Oryctolagus cuniculus: one gene and its partners. The protein of the gene in region 1 interacts with the protein of each later gene in a pairwise test. Links are inferred from orthologs where the notes say so. Each region holds a gene or a part of one and is shown in the gene's direction. Other genes may lie near its edges. The genes, in order: BIRC2, TSGA10, PPM1K, NMB, NTAQ1 and HSP90B1.

Region 1 (3,500 bases):
ATAAATAAAAGTTGAAACAATATTTTTCATCTTATGTTTTAGGTGTGAATTCTTGATACGCATGAAAGGGCAGGAGTTTGTTGATGAGATTCAAGCTAGATTTCCTCATCTTCTTGAACAGGTAAATATACTTTTTAAAAGTTAACAATATTGGATTCTACTGTATGATAATTTGACAGCCAGGCCAAAGCCAAGAACCAGGAACTTATGTGTGGGTGGCAGAGGCCCAACCACTTGGGCCATTTTCTGCTTTCCCATGTATTAGCAGGGAGCTGGATTAGAAATGGGGCAGCCAGGACTCAAATCGGTGCTCATATCAGATGCCAGCATTGCAGATGGTGGCTTAACTTGCTGTATCAAAATACTTTAATTTTTACTTTTGTATCCAATGTATTTGGTGAGGGCTTTCAAAAAAGATTCTTTTGAAAAAAATATCTTGTCACTGTACACATTTATGGTAGGGTTGGAGAAGGATCTTTCATCCTTTTACAGAAATTAACTTATTAGCAATTGAGACCTCTTGAGAGTAACCCATTCAAATGGAGTAAGAAACCATTTATATATTTTCCTACTTTGTTGAAATGGAAGATAATACCTGAATTCTAGTTTGGAAGTAGGGTAAGTTTAAGGAAACCTGTCCTATAGTTAGGATAAAACAAAGCAAAGTGAAGTGTATAAATTACCCAGTTTCGAGTATGTACAATTACTTAGGGTAAACTTAGTGTTCCTCTTTTCAGATTGAGATTTCTGATTTTACCTATTAGCTTTTCTTGTTTTATAGTTGTTGTCAACTTCAGACCCCCCTGGAGAAGAAAATGCTGATCCACCAAGTAAGTGTGAAATATTATTATTAGTGTAGAATGGGAATGTATATAATAATGTGAGGAATGAAAATATATTCTTAAAAAAAGAGATTCTGAAGTTACAGAGAAAAATACTGGGAAGTTAACTGGTAAACCTTAGGTACATACAAAGATTAATGGTATTTTGGGGATTCTAGAAAGTTTATATAGTTTAGTGCTGACATCTCAACAGGGGAGAAAAGACAGATGCAAAAGAAAAACAAATAGCTCAAAGCAATGTCAATAAGAATTGAAAATAATAAGCCCTCCTAAAGAGGAAAAGGTTGCTGTGAGCCAGCATGGTTTGGAAAAAGCCTGGTTCACATGATTTAAGAAGTGGCTTATATATTAGATATTTAGGTCAGGTATATAGTATTTCAATAATCTCTTTTGATTAGAATTTAGTTTTAGCCTATTGGTCTATTAGTTGATGTTCAGAATGTACATTTGAGGGTGGCTCACAAAGTTTCTGGAAAATGTAATTAAGAGATAATTTTACCGCAAAAGAAAAATGGAAACCTTTGCTTACAGAAGTCTTAAACTATCATAGAAAATGCATATTGTGAAACTGCAGATACAGTTGAGTTCTTTGTCCTTTTTAGGACTCCTTCTTTAGCTTCTCAGATGCCCCCAGACAATTGGTATTCTCCCATTTTCCTTTGCTCACTGCTCCTTTTTCAAACTTCAGTGGTCATTGCAAATTTATTTCTTCATTTCCCAAGACCCAGGCTGGAATGTCCAGCTCTCTGTTTAATTCTGTCTTTGGCTATGATAGAATTCTGAGTTAATAGGACCAAAACAAAATTTTCTCCTAATCCTTTATTCCTCAAGTTTGCTTCTCCTTGGGCTTCTCCATTTCAGTTAATGATACTCATTTGCTAAGATAAAAAAGATGCATCATCTCAGATTCCTCTCCTTTCTTTAGTCTGTATATGAGCAATTTTTTTTTTCTGCCTTCATAACACATCCCTCTCACTATTTCTCACCATCACCACTATCACCGTATTCAGATTGCCATCATCTTTTGTCATAGTAATAGGTTTCCCGGATGCCACTTTTACCTGATTTAAAGTCCATTTCCACAGAGCTGCTAGAGTTATCTTTTGAAAATACAAGTCACATTTTATCAGAGCTATGTTAAAAGCCTCCTAGACTATTCTAGCAAACTTAGAATAAAATATGAACACTTTGTAAAGCTCTCCATCTGGACGTTGTCCTCCCTTCCGTCCTTCTACCACCTTCCTTCTCTTCCTTGAACACGTGAAGGTTTTCCCTTGTTTTATGGCTTTTATACTTGTTATTCTCTTGCCTGCAAGACGTCTCATATATTTCCACAGCTTACTCTTTATTACTGTTTTAAATCTCTGGGTGTTCTCTTCCTCTCTCTTCTTTTTTTAAAGATTTTATTTTTATTTGAGAGTTACAGAGAGGAAGAGGCCGGCACTGTGGCTCACTAGGCTAATCCTCCGCGTGCAGCGCTGGTACTCTGGGTTCTGTCCCAGTTGCTCCTCTTCCAGTCCAGCTCTCTGCTGTGGCCCGGGAGTGCAGTGGAGGATGGCCCAGGTGCTTGGGCCCTGCACCCACATGGGAGACCTGGAGGAAGCACCCGGCTCCTGGCTACAGATCGGCGCAGTGTGCCGGCCGTAGCAACCATTTTGGGGGGTGAACCAACAGAAGGAAGACCTTTCTCTCTGTCTCTCTCTCTCACTGTCTAACTTTGCCTGTCAAAAAAAAAAAAAAGAAGAGGAAGAGACAGATCTTCCATCTGCTGGTTCACTCCTCAGATGGCTGCAACTGGCTGAAGCTAGGAGCCTAGAGCTTCTTCCAGGTCTCACAAGTCGGTAGAGGGGCTCATGAACTTGAGTCATCCTCCGTTGCTTTTCCCAGGTGAATTAGCAGGGAGCTGGATTGGAAGTGGAGTTGCTGGAACTCTAACCAGCACCCACATGGATGCTGGCTCACAGGCTGCAGCTTTACTCGCTATACCACAATTCTGGCCCCACTGAGTGTTCTCTTCAGACAGGGAGTCCACATAATGTCTTGGCAGTGTCGCACATAGCACTCATGTTGTTTTTTATTAATGTTTGTTATAACAACTTTCCAGCAGATGGCACTAAAGTGTCTTGAAGAATTAGGTCCACAGTTTTCACAAAACTGCCATATAGGCTAGCTTTGATGCTGTTATCAGAAAATGCTTCCCTGACCATTCTTATTTAAAATGCCCTCCAGGCTCTGAGTTTCTTGAATTAGTTTTTACTTTGGAGAGCACATGTCTCCATCTAAAACTATGGTTGTTTAACCATAGTTTTCACTGCACATTTAGATATGTTACAGGTGTAATACTCTTCCATTTTCTGTACTTCCCATTTTTATTTTCTCTGTCTCAGCTATCCACCCAACTAGGCCCTGTCCAGGCTTCAAATCCAAGCTCCAGTGTTACCTTTTCCATGAAGTCATTTTTATTTCCCCTGTCTTCCTAGCTGGAGACAATTTATAAATTCTAAGTTTGTACATGTTGCTGGTTTTCAAAAATGATTATCCATCAGAATCATTTGGGGAATTTAAAAAATTTAAAGATTCCTAAGCCTTATCCCTAAAGAGTTTGTTAATAAGTAGGTCTAAGATGTATCTTGGGAACTGATATTTTTAAAAAGTGTA
Region 2 (3,500 bases), on another chromosome or scaffold:
CAAAGCGAAACACTGATATCTGCTAAAACATTGATGACTCTTGAAACCATTATGCTAAATGAGGAAAACCAGCCACAGAAAGATCACACAAACAGTATTTGATTCCATTTGTTTGAAATTTGCAGAATAAGACAAGTCACAGAGAGAAAAAGTAAGTTAGGGATTGCCTAGGACCAGGGAGGGTAGGGCAAAGTAGCTGCTAATGGGTGCTAAGGTTTTTGGGTGAATGATGAAAAAGTTCTTAACATTAGATAGTTACAATGATTACACAGCTCTTTCAATATGTTAAAAAAAAAACATTGAGTTATTATGAAACTGTTACCAAAAAAAGTCATGCTCCATTTTGTACTGCTGCTAGAAAATATGGCATCGCCATTGCACAGCTTAGTGTTCGTCCAACACAAGCTAAAAATATTTGCCAGTTTGATAGATTAGAAAAGTGTCACCGGTTCAACCATGGAGTATTTTTGCTTCCCAGTAGATATTTATTTATTTATTTTTTACAGGCAGAGTGGACAGTGAGAGAGAGAGAGAGACATCGAGAAAGGTCTTCCTTTTTGCTGTTGGTTCACCCTCCAATGGCCTCCAAGGCCGGCGCACTGCGCTGATCCGAAGCCAGGAGCCAGGTACTTATCCTGGTCTCCCATGGTGTGCAGGGCCCAAGCACTTGGGCCATCCTCCACTGCACTCCCGGGCCACAGCAGAGAGCTGGCCTGGAAGAGGGCCAACCGGGACAGAATCCAGTGCCCCAACCGGGACTAGAACCCGGTGTGCCGGCACTGCAAGGCGGAGGATTAGCCTATTGAGCCGCGGCGCCAGCCTTAGCAATGTCTTGATACGTTTTTGATTGTCCTGACTAGGATAGGGAATCCTAGTGGAATCAAGAGGGAAGAAACCAGGAATATAGCCAACTATCCTATCATGCGTAAGGTAGTCCCTCACACCAAGTAATTAACCAACCCAAAATGTCAGTAGTTACTAGAGAAGAAACTCTGTACAAGAAATAGCACCTTATTTTAATTTGTATTTTTTGTATTACTAGTAAGGATCATTTTTTTCCATTTCATTGTATATCATAAATTTCGTATAATTAGTTGATATTTCTCATCAACTTGTCTGTATTCTTCATATTAGTAAAGATATTAACTATGTACTGTGTTTATTTATTACAGCTATTTTCTTTCAAATTTTGGTCATGTTTCTATTGACTTAAAATATTTGATCAAATTTTTAAGATTTTTGTGTTGTATCTTAGTTCTACTATATACCTATCCACTCCCACCTCCTGTAATTTCATTTTTACTCATTTTCTTTACTGGAATTTTAAGCCTTTCACATTTAAATTTTTTATGCATGTAGAATTTATTATAATATATATTTTGAGGTATGGAATAACTTTTTCCAAATGATAATGACTGGTCTTTCTCCATTTGAAGAAACATGTGGCTTACAGAGTATAATTTAGACTCAAAATAACCTTCAGAAAGGAAGCTCTTCACAGGTTTACACAAGAGAGCAAATGTGCCATTCCTCCTTATATTCCTTAACTTAGAGTGCAGTACATTCCTTCAGATAGGTGTTTGGAACTCACCTAGCTCAGGGCAAAGTCACAGAGATCACCATGTCAGCCTGTCAGCCTTGTAGAAACATAACATAAATATAGAAGCTAGGAATGGAAATTGGTTACAGTTGGGGTTAATATGCCTTTACTTAATGAATTTTGTGATAGGAGCTGAGAGATGGAGAAAGTGATATTATACATGTATGTGTGGTGTGTGTATTTGGTAAGAAGGCAGATAAAATTTCATTAAGTGATTTATCAGTTTATAACATGATACAACAATTTTTATGAATTCCTGATAATATACCAGTTACATGAATGAATGGGGATAAGTGTAGATGTCTTCATATTGTTATACAGATGGAGAATGAGTTAGATTCTGCTCGTTCTGAAATAGAACTCCTCAGGAGTCAAATGACAAATGAGAGGATCTCCATGCAGAATCTAGAAGCTTTGCTGGTGGCCAACCGAGACAAAGAGTATCAGTCTCAGATAGCACTACAAGAAAAAGAATCTGAAATTCAGCTTCTTAAGGAACACCTTTGTTTGGCAGAAAATAAAATGTGAGTTGTTTAGCAATATAATAACAGAAAGTCGTGTTTTTAATTTTCTGGTGCATTTATCGATTACAATTTTAAAGCTACAATGTAGAGAATTTCATTCCCATGATTTGCCATTAATTAACCTGGGTTCAGAAATACTATGATTTGCCTAAGACTTAGTATTCATTTTTATTTTGTTTTATATAAATTTGAGTTTAGCAGTCTCTATTCATTGTTTCCATCAGAGTTTTGGATATCATAGAATGTCAGATCTAAAATACTGCCTTTAAAAATATAATCAGATTAGAAAAGCAATTAAGCACTCTGAAACCAGCAGAGTTTTACATGTCTGGACCCTTCTGCCATTGCTATCTAGTCTTTCCATTTTTCACCTAGTATTTCTTTATGTTCCCGAGGCTATTGGAAGAACTACACTCACTTCCCCAGAACATGATTTGGGGTTGTGTTTGTAACCCCTAGCTTCACTAGTACTTTATTAGAAGACCCCTGGCTGAGGAATGGGTGGAAATACCTATTTGATTATAAACATTTTATGATTAAACTTGGTCACCTCACAGAAACTGAAAATAGGTCTTTGTACAAATAAAGAATGGGAATGGGAGAGGGAGGAGAAAGAAGGGTTGGAGCGTTGGCGGGAGGGAGGAGAGGGTGGGAATCATCTATGTGTTCCTAAATCTGTACATAGGAAATACATGAAACTTGTATTAAATAAAATTTTTTAAAAAGAAAAAAAACTGAGGCAGACTCTTAGCTTCTGTCCTTATTTGTCCCATCCATAATACTTTTTTGCTCTGCCCTCACGTCCATGCCTGAGACCTTGCAAAGGACAGAGATTGTGACCTCAGACACCAGTCACTCCTAGAAGCCCCTAAGGCTGCAGACTCAGGACCAGTTTCCTTCTGAAACTGCTTTCAGGTCATGGTAGCCATGACTGAGCCACTCCTTTTGGTTCCTGGAGCTGGGCTGTTGTGGTTCTTTCAGCTGGTTCTGCAGGATCACTTTCTCAAGCTGGTAGGTAGAAATCCACTTTTGTGAAGGATGCCAAAACTCCCGCGCCAGGAGGGACACTCTGTACCTGGCTGATGAGTACTATCACTAAGAGATGGTTAGCATGATGAACTTGTGCTCTCAGTCCCTGAGTTAACATTTCAGCAGTCTGTGCTGCTGTCCTGATAGCAGGCCCAGAGGGCAGAATGTTCTGTGCCAGCAGCCTTCATCTCTCATCAGTCTCCTTATGAAGTTGTACCTTATTACAGGGTTTTGAGGCCTCGTTTACCCTTAAGGAAGATCCTGTTAAGTTGAAGAGTTTTTGTTTCTAACTGTATGTATATAAATTTCATTCTGGCCAGTGCCGCGGCTCACTAGGCTAATCCTTC
Region 3 (4,240 bases), on another chromosome or scaffold:
GCTCCAAACTGGAAATCATCTTAATTTCCATCAGAAGAATAAATTTATAAATTCTAGTATATTCGCAGAATGGAATTCAATGACCTACAACTGTCCACAACAGTACGCAAAAATCTCACAAAATAATGAAGCCAAATATAAAAGAATGCATACTTAATTGTTTTATACCAAGTAGAAAGAGAGGTAAAATTAATCTACGTTGTTGAAAGTCATCATAGACGCTACTCTTGGAAGGAGGAAGAAACCGGAAGGTAGTCTGTTAGAGTTTTCAGAAGTTAAAAAAAAAAAGTGTTTCTTGATTGAGTTCTGGATAAAGATGTATTCAGACCGTGAACACTCCTTGTGTTGTATACACTTGTGATGTATGTACTTTTCTATATGTGTATTATATTTTAGCAAAAGCATAAAAAGAAATCCAGGACATCCATGAAAAGTGACTGTCAATCCGACACAGAAATCCTCAAAGTCACTACCAGAATTTGTGAGCGGTGGAAGAATCACCTTCTAAGCAGAGTATTAAGTGCACTGGACTCCCTGCACCAGCCTGCACCAGAACCCTGAAATGCCAAGATAAGTAAACCCTTTACATTTAAAATCTCTAATCTCCTCTTTTCTCTACTCCCAGTGATATCTGTCTGGTTTTTAACCCATGTCATTTCTCACCTTGAACCTCGCCAGCCGTCCTCTCCTAACCAGTCTACCACCAGCCCAGCCTCCCTGTTCTCACATTAACCAAAGCGGTTCACTCCTCTGCTGCTGCCCTCTGCTCCCTCACTAGGCAGGAGCCACACCGACCTCCTTCTGCGCTTCCAGAACCTCAGGGCCTTTGCTCGGCTGTCCCCACCGCCCAGAGAGGCCGCCACTCCGCTCGTTCCACGGCCTGACTACCTGACTTCCTCTCTCTGTGAGACGCAGCCCACACGCCATCTTACAAGGTTCTCACACAAATATCCCCTACCCACCCGGAGTCAACCCCAGTATCCGCTATGTTCACGCCTTGTCTGTGTCGTTTCTGGACACGGTTCACTAATGTTCCACCCTTGTGTACTTGTCGGGTTTCTCCCTTGCCTTCCTAACCAGACCGCAGACGCCACCGAGGCAGCTAACATGAGTGTGTGGGGCAGGACTGTAGGGCCGGCGCCTCGCGGGGGCCTGGCATCCCGAAGGTCCTTCACCCCCTCCCCTCAAAGGGAACTCAAGATGCTTGTTGGCCACGACGAACGCTGCGCTGCGAATTTTTCAAGGCAGAGGCAGTGAAACCCCAAGCCCTTCCAGCTAAGCGTAGGCATTCCTGGCCTCGGTCCCCGAGCTGTCACAACCACCGCCCCCTCACGACACACTCGGCTTCTCCACCCGCTGGCCGGTCACCAAGCGTCTCGTCCCCACCCACCGTCCAGGCGCGCCCCATCTTTGGCCGGTGCGCCTACCTCAGGAGGGTGGGGCGCCTCCTCGAGCAGCTACTGGCCGACGTAGACGTCGCTCTACCGCGCGCGGCTGCCAGTCGGCGCAGTCAAATCGCAGCGGCGGGGAGGCTCGTTCCCAGCGGTAGTTGTGATTGGCTAAGGTGGAGGGCCGACGCGCCGCCTCGCCAAGTGCGATTGGCCGGAGCTGCCGTCAGTCAGCGGGAACACTTCCCTTCGCTCCCTCTGGCCCGCAGCTGGTGAAACATTTTCGAGAATTTCCAGCAGACGAAGCAGTGAGTGGTGCTTTCGATTGCTTGCTCCGGAGATCGCAAGACAAAGGAGACGGCAATCTTATTTAACGAGCACGAAAGCCCCTGCACTGCCCTCCGTTAGCTCATTGAAACACTTCCAAGGGACATAGCCATCGGGAGGTAAGAGCCCGGAGGGTGCCATTCATTTATTTCTGCCCACCGTTTATAATATTACTTATTGGCGGCCCAGGGGATGAAGAGTAAGAGGAGAACGACTCCCTGGTTTCACCTCTTCAGCCTCCGAGCCCCTACGGTCGGTCTCCGGCAGCTGTTTTCTTCCCTTTCCAGGTCAAGAGCGGTTTTTTTTTTTTTTTTTTTTCAGGGTGGGGCACACCCTGGCAGCGCTGCGGGAAGCGGGCGAAGGGCTCCTTCCCCGATCGCGCTCGGCCTTGAACTTGACCGCGAGCCGGCCAGGTGAGGGGGCCGCCACGCGTGCTCTGTGCGACCCGCCGGCGAGGATGCTGCAGGGGTCGGTGCCACGGGGACGCCCCGGGATCAGCGAGGCGGGGAGGCCGGGGTGCAGCTGTTGGCGGGGCGGGGGCGCGAGGCTGTGTGTGCTGCCAGGCGTCCAGCAGGGCGAGCCATCCAGCCCCGGGCGGGCGCGGCCGGAGGCCAGGAGGCCGGTGCCGAGAAGGATGCCCTACTTGGTTTGATGGCAGGACAGGGTGGCAGTTTGGACGGGACGGCGCTGTCATCCCAGGCCCTGCGGCTGTGGTGATGCCTTTTTAGCAGACGCTTTTTGTAGATGCCGGAATTCGCAGGCGGTGACCAAAACGAGGCTAAAGATAAGAGGATGGGGGAGTGTGGGGGCTCTCTGGGGCTGCACCGGGCTTTGTGAGCTTCGGGCCGGAAATATGCAGCCCGGCCTGGTCTTTGCTCAGCGCTCTTCGTCCGCCAGGGCAGGGGGAAAGAGCGAGGCTTTCTGGCGGCTTCAGAGTGAGCCATTAAAGGAGAGCGGCCGGTGGCCAACGTCTGAGGGAACGAAAGCGGTGCGCGGTGCCGCCGTGGCCGGAAGAGGAGCGGCGCGCGCGCGTTGTGTGTCTGTCGCCGAGTGTGGTGCCCATTGTGTGGTGAAATGGCTCCGGGGCGCTGGGTTCTCTCGATGCCTCTTTCTTGCAGCCTGAGCCGCTTTTCTGCGGATGCCGGCGGAACACGCCGCACCTCCCGTGCCTGGGGACTCTGAGGAGAGCCGGGCCGGGGCCCATGAGGTGGGATGTTGGGATAGAAGGGAAAGGAACGTTCTGAGGTTCCAGGTTGGGAACGTGGTCTGTGACTTGGGGACCTCATGAAGGCAGATGTTTGCAAAGGCAGCGAGGGCATTTTAGGTAGGAAGGGTTCCGCAGCTCTGTGTGCTGTCCGCCCTATTCACACATGTCAACATGGACTTCTCTCCCGCAGCTAGCCTGGTACCATGTCTTTCCTTTCCTCCTAGCGGGATACGGGTAAAGAAGGCATAGAGTCCAAATTTGCTGAGATACATTCTGGAGATTTCCATCCTATTTGAAGTGTTCAGAATGCTCTGGTTGCTTTTTAAGGAGTGTTGAGAAAGAAATAGTTAGCTTAAGAATATTAATTGGTTAGTTAATTACCTTGGGTAATTTTTCAATTGTGGAAGTTACCACTTTATAGTACCACTTTATAGTAATAGGCAGATAGGCATTGTTTTTTAAAGATTTTTTTTTCTAGAAGAATACAACCTAAGCAGGTTTTAATAGTGCCAATCCTTAGAACTCCTGGAAATTTTGGCATGGGCTTAAAATGACAGCAATGAACTGCCCTTTTGACCTGGCTTTCGGTGCTGAAGTGCGGTTAAACCTCAAATCCCTGTGCACCCTCCTGCCAGACACACAGTGCCTCCTGTTTCCAAAAATAAATTTGGACAGCCTAGGGTGTTTAAACCATGGAGGAATTCTAAAGTGGGAGCAAGAAGAAAACATAAAATTGGCAAAGCAAATTTGTAGCTGTGTAGTTGCCTTTTTTCACTGCTTCCTTTTACTTTTAAATGAGGGATATAGTTCAAAAGTTTTTTGCAAACCAAATGCATTTTTTTTTCCATCCTAATGCTTTTGACCTGGGGCTTCCCACTCCTGAGATGAGGTTTGTCGCCAGTACTCACTGAGCATCTCTATGCATGCCTTCATGGTCTTGCAGTTTCTTCCCATTTAAACCTCTCTGCTGAGGTTCCCCTTGTCAGTCAGTCGGGATGGTTAAACAAACTGTTTCCTAGCCACAGGAGGAGGAAGATGGGAAAGGCATGGTTACACAAATCAGTATGGAAATGGTGAAAAGAAAAGGTTTTTTTCCCCCTAATATTGATGGATTTATTTAGTTGGGAGGCAGAGCCGTAGACACACACACACACACACACACAGAGCGACACAGATACACAGGGGAGAGAGAGAGACAGACAGAAAGAGAGCCTCCATTTGCTGGTTCATTCTTCCCAAATGGCTGCAACAACTGGGACAGGGCCAGGCTGAAGGTAGGAGCCGGGAACTCCATCCAGGTCTTCCACATGGATGGCAG
Region 4 (4,271 bases), on another chromosome or scaffold:
CTGCAGGAGTGAAACCTAAAATGCGGCGCCCACTCGCCCACGCCACGGAGGTCTGAACCTGACTGGCTGTTGCAGTGGGGCGGAGGCGGTGTGCTTTAGGGAAGTCGGTGCCTGCCCTGAAGTCTGATTCCAGGCCGAGTGCCAACCCCTCTGAGCCTGCTTCTACCTAAACGTGAGAAAGCAAAACTTACCAAAGATTGCTTGGAGCATGTAAGTGAGGCAGCACTCACCAAATACCAGCTCCTGTGTGTTGTAGACCAGAGACCACAGGATGGGGGCGAGAGGGATGCAGAGGAAAGGGAGGGGTCGCAGAGGGAATGGTTATTATGGGAAGGTGAGGAGAGCTATATCTGTACAGCATGGCTAAGCTGTGACAAGAAAGCAGAGAGGTGCAACTGCCAGAGTGGGGGTGAGAAGCAGGAAGACAGGGCAGAAAGCCAGGCCGGAAATGGAGTGTCCCCATACCGTGTGTCACACGCTCCTGGAAGCTGAGCCCGACGCCCAGCTCCTTGGGCAAACGGCTCTCTCAGGGACGGATCTGAGCTGCATACAGGCAAAAGTAGTAAGAGCGGTGCGGTTGCTGAGCCAGCCAGGAGCAGGTTCTGGCACAGCCGCCTGTGCATCGTTCCAGGGACGGGTCCCTGTGGCTGGGCCACAGCCTCTGCATCCTTCGCTCTCAGCGGGTCTCCCGTGGCTGAGCCACAGCCTCTGCATCATTCACTCTCAGTGGGTCTCCCATGGCTGGGCCACAGCCTCTCCATCATCCGCTCTGTGCACCGTGCCCCACAGAGAGCTTCGTCTCCCCCTCCTGGGCCTAGCACAGTGCTCAGCCAGCACTTAGCAGAAATCAGCGGCGCTCTCCTGGAGCACCACGCCTTCCCCCGCTCCCGAAGCCGTGCACTGCTGCAGTTCTTTGCCCGGCAAGGCCGGCAGCGCCTTGGAGGACCACAGGGCTGCTGGGGAGGGCAGCTCCTGGGAGGCTGCTGCTGGCTGGCACAAGATAGGTGTGCTGCCAAGTGTAGAATTATTACAAATAGGGCAGTGCAGTTATTACCAACGTCCTTTCATATGGACTTATGATCCAGTGCTCTCTCCACTCCGACCTGCTCTGCCTCCTGCCCAACTCCACATCCCAGCACAGAACCTTGGTAAAGCACCCGGGGACACAGGTCCAGTGCCCCGAGAGGGAAGGGGTGATGGAGCTCATCTGGTGCCTGGCAATGCTAACCAGGACTGTTGAAGTGCCTGAGTCGCCCAGGCGCGGCTCTGAAAGCCGGTGGAGCGGCCACGGGGTCCCGGGAGTTCCTCTGGGCTTCCCGACCCCTGCTCTCCGCGTGCCGGGACCTCAGCGTGAGGGCGTGGGCTCGGGCAGTTCACTCTGGACCGCCGCCTGAAGGGTCCTGCGGGCGGCGGCGGTGGCGGCGGCGGCGGCGGCGGCGGGGCGGGCTCGGGCTCCGCGGGGGCAGGCTCCGCCTCCGGAGGCGCGGGTTTAAAGCCGGGAAGGCGAGGAGCGCCGGAGCCAGCCGCCGCCGCCGCACAGCCATGGGCCGGCGGCCGGGGGGCGCTCAGCCGCTGGGCGGCCTCCTGCTGCTCGCCCTGCTCGCTGCCGGCGTGGCCCCGCTCAGCTGGGATCTCCCGGAGCCCCGCGGCAGAGCTGCCAAGATCCGAGTGCACCCGCGGGGCAACCTCTGGGCCACCGGTGAGTCTTCGGGGCAGCGGGCGCCCCTCACCCTGCTCTGATTCCCCCTGCAGCCCCTCGTCCTGGGGACTGCAGGGAGCAGCTGGGCCCCTTGGGCTCCTCCCGTTCAGTAGAGGGGAACTTGACACGCACACAGGTGAGCGCGCAGGGGCAGGGCTGGCCTGGGGCCCAGATCTGCCTGCCAAGTGCTGCTCCTTCCCTCGGGCTTGGATTTGTGCATCCTCCAGGCTCTGGCGTATCTCCTTCCCTGCCCTCCCCTCCCTGTGCTCGGCCATGCAGGCGGCAGGACGGACAGTTTTCCCCAGTTGCTGGGCCCCCTTCTGCACTGGTTCTGGAAGAGCCGAGGTGCTGGGCCTTGCCACACCCAGACACCTCGGTGGGTCTTGGTGAGGAGGGGGAAGGTGGTGTCTTCCTGCTGCGAGAGCCAACTATGGGAGTGATGGGGAACTTCCCCGCTGGGGTAGAATCCTCACTCCCTGGCTTCCTTGGGCCTCGACACCTCCTTTCCAGGTCACTTCATGGGCAAGAAGAGTCTGGAGCCCCCCAGCCCATTCCCACTGGGGACCACTCCCCCCACCGCCGTGAGGGCCCAGAGACTGCAGCTGAGTCATGATCTGCTCCGGATCCTCCTGCTAAAGAAAGCTCTGGGCCTGAGCCTCAGCGGCCCAGCAGCCCAGACCCAGGTGAGCCAGGCCCCACCCCAGCCAGGACCAGGAGAGCTCAGCCAGGGCCCGCCCCTTGGTCCAGCATGGAGGAGCTGTCATTGCCATGGGGTATCATGGCCTGGCCAGGGCGAGGTGGGTGTGGAGAGCCGGGAAGAAGGAATGCCGGGTTATCCCTCTATCCCAGGGCTCAAAGAGCAGGGCACTGGCCAAGGGAAGCTGACCCTCCCTGCAGACCCCATGGCACAAGCCCCCCCACTCATCACCCAGTCCAAGGTCAGACAAGGAGCAGACAGCCACTAGCAGCAGGACCTGTCCCCCAGGCCCAACAGCCTTGTCCCACTCCATCGGCCCCTGCTCTTTTGGCCACATCCATCCTTACTGCGCCCTGCATGTGCTGTGGCTGGAGCTGGGACCCTGAGTGCCTGCTTCTGTAGCCAGCGGCAGGGCTTGGGCCGTGCACGGCAGTGTCCGTCGCTGATCACCACCCGACACATGCTAGCAGAACCCCCCACCCCAGATTGTGACAGGCGGACAGGCCCCCAGCCTGTCACCAGATGTCCTCGGGGGTGGGGGGAGGGAGGAAGGTGCCCTAATCATTCTCGGTTATAATCCACTGACCTATGCAGTTCAGTCCCAAACTAAAGCCAAGCCAGCCACAGTGTCTGGTCTGGTTGAGCAGCTTCTCTGCTCCCTGCTCCTGGTGCTGTCCCACTGTGCACTACGGTGCCCCGGGCTCGTGGCTGTGTGCAGAAGGTGGGCTCTGGCCAGGTGAGCCCTCCTGACCCAGCTGCTTAGTAGCTGTGTGACCTCAGAAATCTCAGCCTCCTCCCCCTCATCCGTAAGTGGAGAGGGTAATGGGCCCATCTCTCACTGAGTGAGACCATTTATGTCATGCGCCCAGCGCGATGCTAGTATGTAGACAGCCCTGGGTAAGTGGGGGCTGTTAGCCGTCTGGGAGCTCCGGGCAGTGCCTGCTGCTGTCCCCTTCGCATCCTCACTGTGCCTTGCATAGGGTGTGTACATTATGGAAAGAGGGAATGGCATTCCCTGGGGAAGGTTCAACCTCAGCCCCAGCCAACACCCCTGACTCCTGAAACACTGAAGGCCCCCAGCCCTCCTCAGATGTGACGGCTAAGGGTCTGAAGGGGAACCGTGTCACCCGCAGGGCTTGCAGCACGAGAATCTCAGGGGCAGCACACCTGGCCGGGAGCAGGTGGGACATCAGTGGGGCCTGGGCCGGAGCTGGGGACGGGAGGGTCAGGACACTGACACTGGGTGGTGCCAAGCACTGGGATCTGACTTCACATTCCCCCTTAGAGTGTGGCGACTGTGCTGTGAGGTTGGGGCTATAACTCTCAGGACACCACGGCCGGTGACTCCTTCCCGGGCCCTTCAGGGAGAGCCGTGCTAGGGGTCCTGCCCTGCCCACCTCTGCAGGTGCCTGGCACTTAGGAGTGGCAGGAGGCTCCATTCGTGGGCGGCGCCGCGCCCCCACCCCGCCTTGCCAGATCAACTCTTCTGTGTTTTCATTCAGTACAGGAGGCTTCCGGTGCAAATACTGCAGAAGTGATGCCAGCAGCAGCTCACCTTAGACTGTGCCGGCCCGGGGGAGGTGGCAGTGCCGCCTGGATGTAAATGCTGGGCGCCAGTCCGTCTCTGCACGGCTGGGATTCCTGACGGGGTCGCCAGAGCTGGCGGGACGCACACGAGGTTATATCCCTGCTGTATCGGTTGCTCCCCTGTTGAAGCTGTGAATAAAAACCCTGCTCTTCACACAGAATGCGTGGTCCTCTCCTTCCAGCTAGGTTTGAGGGAGGGCGGGAGAGGGGCCGGGAGACAGACGGGGCTGGAGCACTTGGCGCCATGGCCCAGCCTGGCACTGACTCCTGCTCAATCAAGCTACGCCT
Region 5 (3,500 bases), on another chromosome or scaffold:
AGTAAAATGGGAGAAATAGGAATGCCCGGAGATAGAGAAATAGAGAAATAGAAAGGCCTCCCCTCAACATGGCAACGAGAAAGTTTGGATTCGGTCTGCCTGATTAAGTGAGGCGATGAGCACGATGAGCACCTGCGGCGGTTAGCAGCTTATGCGCCGCAGGTCACCGAAGACAGGCACGAATTAACATCAGTAAGGCCTCCCCACAAAAAGGCAATGAGAAGGCTTGGATTCGGTTTGCCTGATAGAGCTTGTAAGCCCCTGCAGGCAGAGCAGAGCATGCGCTGCGGGGCACCGAACACAGGCACGCATCAGCGCCTAAAAACCTCCTCATAACATGGCGAAGAGAGGACCCGGATTCGGTTTGCCTGATAGGACTTGTAAGAGCCTGTGGCAACTCTAGCAAGTAGAGCAGAGTGTGTGCCGCGGGACACCGAAGACAGGCGCGTATCAACGCCAAAAATAAAAAGAAAGGGGGATCTGTGGGGAGCAATCCGGACTAGACTAAGTTACTCGAATTAAGACTTATTCTATGCATCTGCTCTCCCACAATATGGCGCTGGGAGAGAAGTAAACAGCTTCCGCACAGCTGCCTCCAGTTCAACTAATAAACTGTAGGACTTGCTCCTGATTGGAGAGCAGCGTACTCGGCGTGTGGGCAGCCGAGTTAGGATTGGCGGGAGAGGACTATAAAGGAGGAGAGAGACGGCACGCACCAGGAACATCTATGGGGAACATCTAAGGGAACCCGTGCAGCCCCCGAGAGAACCGGCCGGCGGTGTGCCGCTCCCCTGCGGAAGTGGGGAATGTGGCCAGGGGGAACTGCCCTTCCACGGAGGTGGAAGGGATAGTAGCCAACCCGGGAAGAACCAGCAGCAAACCCGGGGAGGGCCGAGCAGACGAAAGAACAGCGCAGGGTCCTGTGTCGTTCCTCCATGAAGAGGGGGAGCGACAGAGAGAGAGAGAGATCTTCCATCCACTGGTTCACTCCCCAAATGGCCATAATGGCCTGGGCTGGGCCAGGCCGAAGCCAGGAGCCTAAGGTCCCCTCTGTGTCTCCCACGTGGGTGCAGGGGCAGAAACAATTGGGCCATCCTATACTTCTTTCCCAGAAACACTGGCAGGGAGCTGGCTCGGAAGGAGAGAAAGCTTTCTAAAAGTTAAGGCCTCCTCCTTACTTTAGGGGATTGGGGAATCCCACGCACAGGGGCTTTCTCCAGAATCCCTGGACAAACCACATAACGTCTCCTGAGCCTTTCCAGCTAGGAGCCCTCCTGCCCCTTTCCTAAAGGGAGCAAAGAACCAGGGGTAACTCACATTCATTGCATGTTTACAATATGATGTGATTATGTCCACTTTACAGTTAGGTAGATTCTCAGAGGAGTTGAGATGTTCACAGCCTCTTACCTTGTAAGTGGCTGAATTGGATTTCCAGCTGTGTGGTTTTTTTTTTGTTTTTTTTTTTCCTTGACAGGCAGGTGATGACAGTGAGAGAGAGAGACAGAGAGAAAGGTCTTCCTTTGCCGTTGGTTCACCCTCCAATGGCCGCCGCGGCCAGCGCGCTGCAACCAGCGCACCGCGCCGATCCGATGGCAGGAGCCAGGTACTTATCCTGGTCTCCCATGCGGGTGCAGGGCCCAAGGACTTGGGCCATCCTCCACTGCACTCCCTGGCCACAGCAGAGAGCTGGCCTGGAAGAGGGGCAACCGGGACAGAATCCGGTGCCCCAACCGGGACTAGAACCCGGTGTGCCGGCACCGCAAGGTGGAGGATTAGCCTAGTGAGCTGCGGCGCCGGCCAACAGCTGTGTTTCAAGTATTCAGATCTAAAGCTTATAGGATATTAAAGCATTTTATCCATTTTAAAATATGCAGACACTGTTGTGGGAGGCAGTGAGCTCTGGAAAAAGTGTCCACACGCAGTGTAGATAACAACTTGTTAGGAAATTTTTTTTTAATTTTCCAAACATATTTCTAATTAGACCTCAAAATACACTTCATTTTTAAAAGGACAGCGTGATTTATTTATTTATTTCTTTTTTAGATTTTATTTATTTACTTGAGAGGTAGAGTTATAGGCAGAGAGAAAGGTCTTCTGTCTTCTGGTACACTCCCAGATGGCTGCAACAGCCGGAGTTGGGCCAATCCAAAGCCAGGAACAGGAACTTCTTCCAGGTCTTCCATGCGTTTTGGGGGCCCAAGGACTTGGGCCATCTTCTACTGCCTTCTCAGGCCACAGCAGAGAGCTGGATTGGAAGAGGAGCAGCCAAGACTTAAACCTGTGTCCATATGGGATTCCGGTGCTGCAGGTGGAGGCTTAGCCTACTTTGCCACAGCACCAGCCCTTAGGAATGTTTTAGAGGAGATTGAAATGTCAGGCAGTTGTTGGATGAGATGATGTGTAAGGGCTCTTCTAATTTTTTGATGTCATCATCAGTCTTTTGTTCAAATCTGAAAAGCATACAGAGTGCTCTCTTTTAATTATATTGATCAAACAATTATTTTGTTTCAGTGAAGAAAATATTTGGAAGCTCTGTGAACACATCAAGAACCATGACCAGTACCCTTTGGAAGAGTGTTACGCTGTCTTCATATCTAATGAGAGAAAGATGGTAAGTTGGTGAATGATTGCAGAAAGGAAACACACCAGAAGCTAAATATAGCATGAGTTTAGTACTGTTCTGAAATGTGCTTTATAAAAGACAGTGACATTTTAAAGTTTGTTTTTGAATGAGATCTTTTTCCTTATAGGGCACAGTTGAGTTAGAAGAGTTTAGTCCCTTTTATGTAAGGAAATATGTGATTGTGTATTTACACAGGTTAAGAAAGGCCCCTTTCTTAGTTCTTTCTTAGTTACTAACAAAGAATTTTTTTTTTTTTTTTGGTAAACATGATGCTTTTTAACTCTGTCTTCTGAACCCATAAAAAGCATTAATTACCGTGTTACTGAGAGAATGCTAAATATAGACTCTAAAGAATGTGAAGCCCGCATTTGGGGATATGTGATCACAAATAAGAAGATATAGTACATAATAAACTTCCACATATTACCCAATACTAAAGCAGCTTTGTAATTTAAAGAGATTTCAGAGACCCGTTGCCAGAGTAACCATGACCATTAACATTAGACAATGAAAAGGCAGAGCAGGTAAAACACTGATGTGGGAATTCCATTTTCAGTATCACGGCAGGAAAGTTGTCCAGAATGGCCATCCTCCTTAAAGTTACAAGCCGTTGAATAAAATATGGAGAAAGAATCTTATACAAAGCATATAAAATCTAGCAATATAGTAATTATTAAACTGTTATCATAATATGCACATACAGAGGTAAATGTTGAACGAAAGCTGCTTCTGCTCTAAAGATATTGCTGAACCAACAGAATGTTAGTTCTGGTTTTCACAGTCTTCTAGAGTGCAAGAGTCAACTACAAATCCCAGAATCTACCAAAATCAGGGATTAAAATTCTAGATGCCCCACCCAGAAAGTTGAGAGCAAAGA
Region 6 (4,097 bases), on another chromosome or scaffold:
TCGGAACACAAGGTAGGTCACTGCCTCCTGGGCTGAGCGGTGCTTACGCGGAAGCTTAGCAGCAACCACAACAAAGGTATCCATGGAAATGCACCACAGGAAGAATCAAGAGATCAGCTCCAAAGGCGGGGAGGGCCCGTTCTGGAGGAGCCGCACAGGGCAGGAATGGGGATGGGTAGCCGTTAGGAGTCAGAGAGGCGGGAAGACCGCCCGAGGGGGCGAGGCTGGGCCCGAAGCCGCTCTTGCGCACCCCTAGGAGCACGGCAGAGCCCAGGCAGTCTCGCCGTGGCCAGCCCACAGCCTGCGGCTCTGCCCCCTCGTGAATTCTCAGCATCTGCACAAACATCCAGGCACTCGCAGCGGCTCTATTTCACTCTCGGTTCCCTCCAGGTGCAGCGCGAACTGCCCGGTCACATGGCTTTTGCAGTTTCAGGACTGCTCAGAAGTAGAGAGAAAGGTGAAGGAGCTGAGCTGTGAAGCCCAGAAGAGAGGAAGAACCCATTTTCTACGACCAAAAAATCAGTGAAAACACAACGAAATACCCTTGAGATTTCTGAATGCGATGCACACTCTAGTAGACTTTAAAAAAAAAATGCCAGCACAGAAGCGTAAAACCTGCTTCGTAAGCTACTTTTGCTTACTAGGAACAAAAGCGGAGCAATAAGGAGCCCCGCGAGGCGCAGGTGTCAACCAGAGTTCAGAGTGGGAGTAGCGGAAGCCGGTCTTCAAGGAATGCGGAGGATCTCCCGAAAACAAGGAGGGAGCAGCGAGGGAGAGGGGCCCGGCTAGGGGCAGCGGGAGAGGTGGTCCCAAGGCGCCAGAGACCTGTGGGCGACTTCCGCGGAGAGACACCTGGGGTTTCACGTCGCCCTGAGGGCGGCCGGGGTATTTCTACGAAGTTACAAAGCTGCTATCTTGTCCCCACTCCCCCACCCACGAAAGGTTTTGCTTTCAAATACTGGCAGGTGTGCGCTCCTGCAGGCGGGGCGTTCCTTTTCTATGCAAACCCGGGCGGCCCCGTGCTCTCCCGCCGACTTGCAGCGAGGGCTCGCGGGCTGCCCGGGTCGCCCAAAGTTTACCTCAGGAGAGCGGGGGAAACCCACGCCGCCCCCTGCCCTAAACCACATCAGGCAGGCGCGAGGAAGACTGGGGTGCCCGGTGACGCACGCGCAGCCAGATTGGGAAACCGCCGTTCCCGAGCCGGAGGCGGCCTCCGCCGAAGCGCGGCGACTTCTGAAAGCGCGTCCGCTGCGGGGTCCTGCAACACGCACGAATCTCTACTGCGGTCAGAACGAGATGTGAATTCGAAAACGTGCAGGACGGAGTTCCCGCAAAGACACGCGAGGAGAGTGGGGGAGAAGAGACCCAAACTGCGCAGCTATAGCCCGCGAGGAAAAAACTACGATTCCCAGCATCCAACACGGCGTACCCTCGGTGTGTGGCATGCCGGGAAATGTAGTTTCTTCACCACCAACAAGCCACCCGAAAGCCTTCAGGGGGGTTTCAATCTCTCACGTATTGCTTCTCCGAGAAGCACTGACAAATAGAAAGGTGACTTGGAAGTCGCGCTGGATTCGGTCCCAACGGGATCCCGGGTGTAGACGCCAAAGTGTGAAGAACCCGTTGTCATGGCTACCGTTTCCCCTGGTCACGGAATACACGCTCTCTAGGATCCGGAAGTGTTTCCTCCGCGACCTCTCAAAAAAGGACGGACGTGTGTGGAGCTTACGTTCATTGGACGATTTCCTCTAGATGCTAAGGCTTCCCAGGCAAAGGGGCGGTTCCGCGTGCGAGGGGCCCGCGGAGGTATGTGATTGGACAAAAGCTGTTACCCATGCCCAATCGGAGGGAGCCACGCTTCGGGCATCGGGCACCGCACCTGGACAGCTCCTATTGGCGGACTGTGGTCCCCCCCGCGAGTCCCCATTGGGTGCCTGGGGTGCGTGGTGCGGTGCGATTGGTGGATTCGTGTTTCCCGTCCCCCGCCCGCGGGCAGTGGGGGTGAAAAGCGGCCTGACCTGCTTGCGGTGTAGTGGGCGGACCGCGCGGCCTGAGGTGTGAGGCTCGGAGCTTGGGGTGGAGGGGTGGAGGCGGCTCCTGCGATCAAAAGGGACCTGATACCCGCCGGCCGCGCGCCATGAGGGCCCTGTGGGTGCTGGGCCTCTGCTGCGTCCTGCTGACCTTCGGTGAGTGATCCTGGAGCCCGGACACCCCCCCCCCCGGCGCGGCCGCTTCTCGAAGGTTCTGGGGGCGTTGGGGAGGGGTACCAGGGCCCGCGGCGGGCCAGCGGGGCCATCGCCTTTCCTCGAAAGAGGCCGAGGGGACTACGTTGGCGCTCTTGCTGCTCTGGGAAGAAAAGAAAGGACGGAGTCGTTTAAATCCCCCGCAGCCCGCGTGGGTCCGCGCCCGGCGGTCGGGGCCGCCCCGGGCGGGGCCTCCCTTGGGCTCTGCCTTCCCCGGCTGCCCTCCCGGAGGGCTCCGGTCCGCAGCCACAGCCTGGGGAGCCCCCGCCCCGCTCCGGGCTTCCGTCGTGCGCGCGCTTCCGTTCTTAGACGTCGGCGGGGTCAGCGGGTCCAGGCCCGATTGCAAGCCCCCTCGCCAGAGGCTGCACGAATCTGGTTCGTGTTGTGACCCGGGCCGGGGCAGGCCGGGATTTGGGCTTTGGTCTGCTTGGGAGCCCCGCGCGGCGGCGCGCAGCACGTGTGGCGGGGGCCCTGAGCCACGCGAGTCGCGGGGGCTCCGTGGGGGCGCCGCGCAAGGCCCGCCTCCCCCTCCCCCGTGCACCGCGCGTGTTTCGCAATCCCTGCCCTTGCCCTGTGTGACCGTGTTCGCTGTCCCCCAGGCTCGGCCCGGGCCGACGACGAGGTGGACGTGGACGGCACCGTGGAAGAGGATCTGGGGAAGAGCAGGGAAGGGTCGAGGACGGACGACGAGGTCGTACAGAGGTCCGTGCTGGTCGGCAGCGCCGCGGGCTCCAGGGATCCCCATTAAAGCTAATGCTCCCACATTGGGCAGGAAAGTGTTAGCAGGAGCGAGGTGTAACGCATTATCTAAGAGTCCCTTAGCGTGAGCTTTGGATGAATTCCTTTGAAAACTGTTTTGCTGACTTGCCGTGCAGAGTGCTGGCCCCTTGAGCTTTGTAAGGCCTGAGAGAAGACTTGCAGTGGGGTTTGCACTCGCCGAGTGCGTGCACTGACTGGTTTTCTGACGGGTTTCTGTCAGTGGAGTCTCTGCCGTGGAGCAGTGTGGGTATGGGTATGACTGCTCCTTGGTCAAGTTGGGCAATTTAAGAATCTCGGCGTGACCCTCTGGGAGCAGAGGAGCTGGTACTTGGTGGTCGTCTTGGAAGGCTTCCGTTTACCCGTCTAACCCTCAGGACAGTCTTCAGGGGCCACTTGAGCCGTCAGCACAGAGGCTGTGTTTTTAAAGGTACTAAGCATGCCGTATTTGCCTACCTGATTTCCTTAGAGAGGAAGAAGCCATTCAGTTGGATGGACTCAATGCATCCCAAATACGAGAACTTAGAGAGAAATCTGAGAAGTTTGCCTTCCAAGCTGAAGTTAACAGGATGATGAAACTTATCATCAATTCATTGTATAAAAATAAAGAGGTAAGCAGCCTGGGTTAGGGTGATACTTTGTTTTGTGGATTGGCATACTTGTTTACTTTCGCAGTTAAATACATTTAAGAAATAGTAATCACAGGTGAACAGTGAAACTGAAATACCAACCTGTGCAGCCAGGACGACTGTTAGACGTTTCCCCTTTGTCCTCTACCCTGCAAGCAGGGCCGTGGCCTGCTGAACAGTCCGCTAAGCTTCGTGGACTTCCTACTGGAAAATCAGGGTGGTGTTTAATTCTCCTTCCAGTCCAGATATCCTTATAGTTGTAACAGTCCCGTGTATAGGAGCTAATCCTCCTTGTACCAGTGAGCAGAGCCACCCTGAGAAGACTTTTTCCTTAAAGAGTGCTTTTTCAAGGTACAGAGGAGACAGGAAGAGTCGACATTAAATTCAGTGTCCTATGTGTCTAATGTAACTATCAAATCTGCCTTCCATTTAGATTTTCCTGAGAGAACTGATTTCAAATGCTTCAGAT

The links.
Region 2: the proteins of BIRC2 (region 1) and TSGA10 interact in binary tests that used the Homo sapiens proteins (3 or more experiments, as listed by UniProt). The two-hybrid records come from large-scale screens. The link is inferred for Oryctolagus cuniculus from reciprocal best matches to the Homo sapiens genes BIRC2 and TSGA10.
Region 3: the proteins of BIRC2 (region 1) and PPM1K interact in binary tests that used the Homo sapiens proteins (3 or more experiments, as listed by UniProt). The two-hybrid records come from large-scale screens. The link is inferred for Oryctolagus cuniculus from reciprocal best matches to the Homo sapiens genes BIRC2 and PPM1K.
Region 4: the proteins of BIRC2 (region 1) and NMB interact in binary tests that used the Homo sapiens proteins (3 or more experiments, as listed by UniProt). The two-hybrid records come from large-scale screens. The link is inferred for Oryctolagus cuniculus from reciprocal best matches to the Homo sapiens genes BIRC2 and NMB.
Region 5: the proteins of BIRC2 (region 1) and NTAQ1 interact in binary tests that used the Homo sapiens proteins (3 or more experiments, as listed by UniProt). The two-hybrid records come from large-scale screens. The link is inferred for Oryctolagus cuniculus from reciprocal best matches to the Homo sapiens genes BIRC2 and NTAQ1.
Region 6: the proteins of BIRC2 (region 1) and HSP90B1 come close enough for resonance energy transfer, tested with the Homo sapiens proteins (2 studies listed by BioGRID). The link is inferred for Oryctolagus cuniculus from reciprocal best matches to the Homo sapiens genes BIRC2 and HSP90B1.

The regions. Positions count from the first base shown.
Region 1 is NC_091432.1:94,082,147-94,085,646, forward strand, and holds part of BIRC2 (baculoviral IAP repeat-containing protein 2), read left to right. Parts: intron 1-42; coding exon 43-121; intron 122-781; coding exon 782-830; intron 831-3,500. UniProt on the Homo sapiens protein: Multi-functional protein which regulates not only caspases and apoptosis, but also modulates inflammatory signaling and immunity, mitogenic kinase signaling, and cell proliferation, as well as cell invasion and metastasis.
Region 2 is NC_091433.1:109,420,699-109,424,198, forward strand, and holds part of TSGA10 (testis-specific gene 10 protein), read left to right. Parts: intron 1-1,921; coding exon 1,922-2,124; intron 2,125-3,500. UniProt on the Homo sapiens protein: Plays a role in spermatogenesis. When overexpressed, prevents nuclear localization of HIF1A.
Region 3 is NC_091439.1:77,349,559-77,353,798, forward strand, and holds the start of PPM1K (protein phosphatase Mn(2+)-dependent 1K), read left to right. Parts: upstream 1-1,440; 5' UTR 1,441-1,834; exon of another isoform or gene 1,835-2,128; intron 2,129-2,321; exon of another isoform or gene 2,322-2,922; intron 2,923-3,101; exon of another isoform or gene 3,102-3,240; intron 3,241-3,830; exon of another isoform or gene 3,831-3,937; intron 3,938-4,240. UniProt on the Homo sapiens protein: Serine/threonine-protein phosphatase component of macronutrients metabolism.
Region 4 is NC_091443.1:100,947,895-100,952,165, reverse strand, and holds NMB (neuromedin-B), read left to right. Parts: upstream 1-1,471; 5' UTR 1,472-1,542; coding exon 1,543-1,699; intron 1,700-2,209; coding exon 2,210-2,382; intron 2,383-3,898; coding exon 3,899-3,934; 3' UTR 3,935-4,144; downstream 4,145-4,271. UniProt on the Homo sapiens protein: Stimulates smooth muscle contraction. Induces sighing by acting directly on the pre-Botzinger complex, a cluster of several thousand neurons in the ventrolateral medulla responsible for inspiration during respiratory activity.
Region 5 is NC_091437.1:149,142,023-149,145,522, forward strand, and holds part of NTAQ1 (protein N-terminal glutamine amidohydrolase), read left to right. Parts: intron 1-2,511; coding exon 2,512-2,611; intron 2,612-3,500. UniProt on the Homo sapiens protein: Mediates the side-chain deamidation of N-terminal glutamine residues to glutamate, an important step in N-end rule pathway of protein degradation.
Region 6 is NC_091442.1:106,766,848-106,770,944, forward strand, and holds the start of HSP90B1 (endoplasmin), read left to right. Parts: upstream 1-1,297; 5' UTR 1,298-2,137; coding exon 2,138-2,186; intron 2,187-2,842; coding exon 2,843-2,945; intron 2,946-3,468; coding exon 3,469-3,610; intron 3,611-4,061; coding exon 4,062-4,097.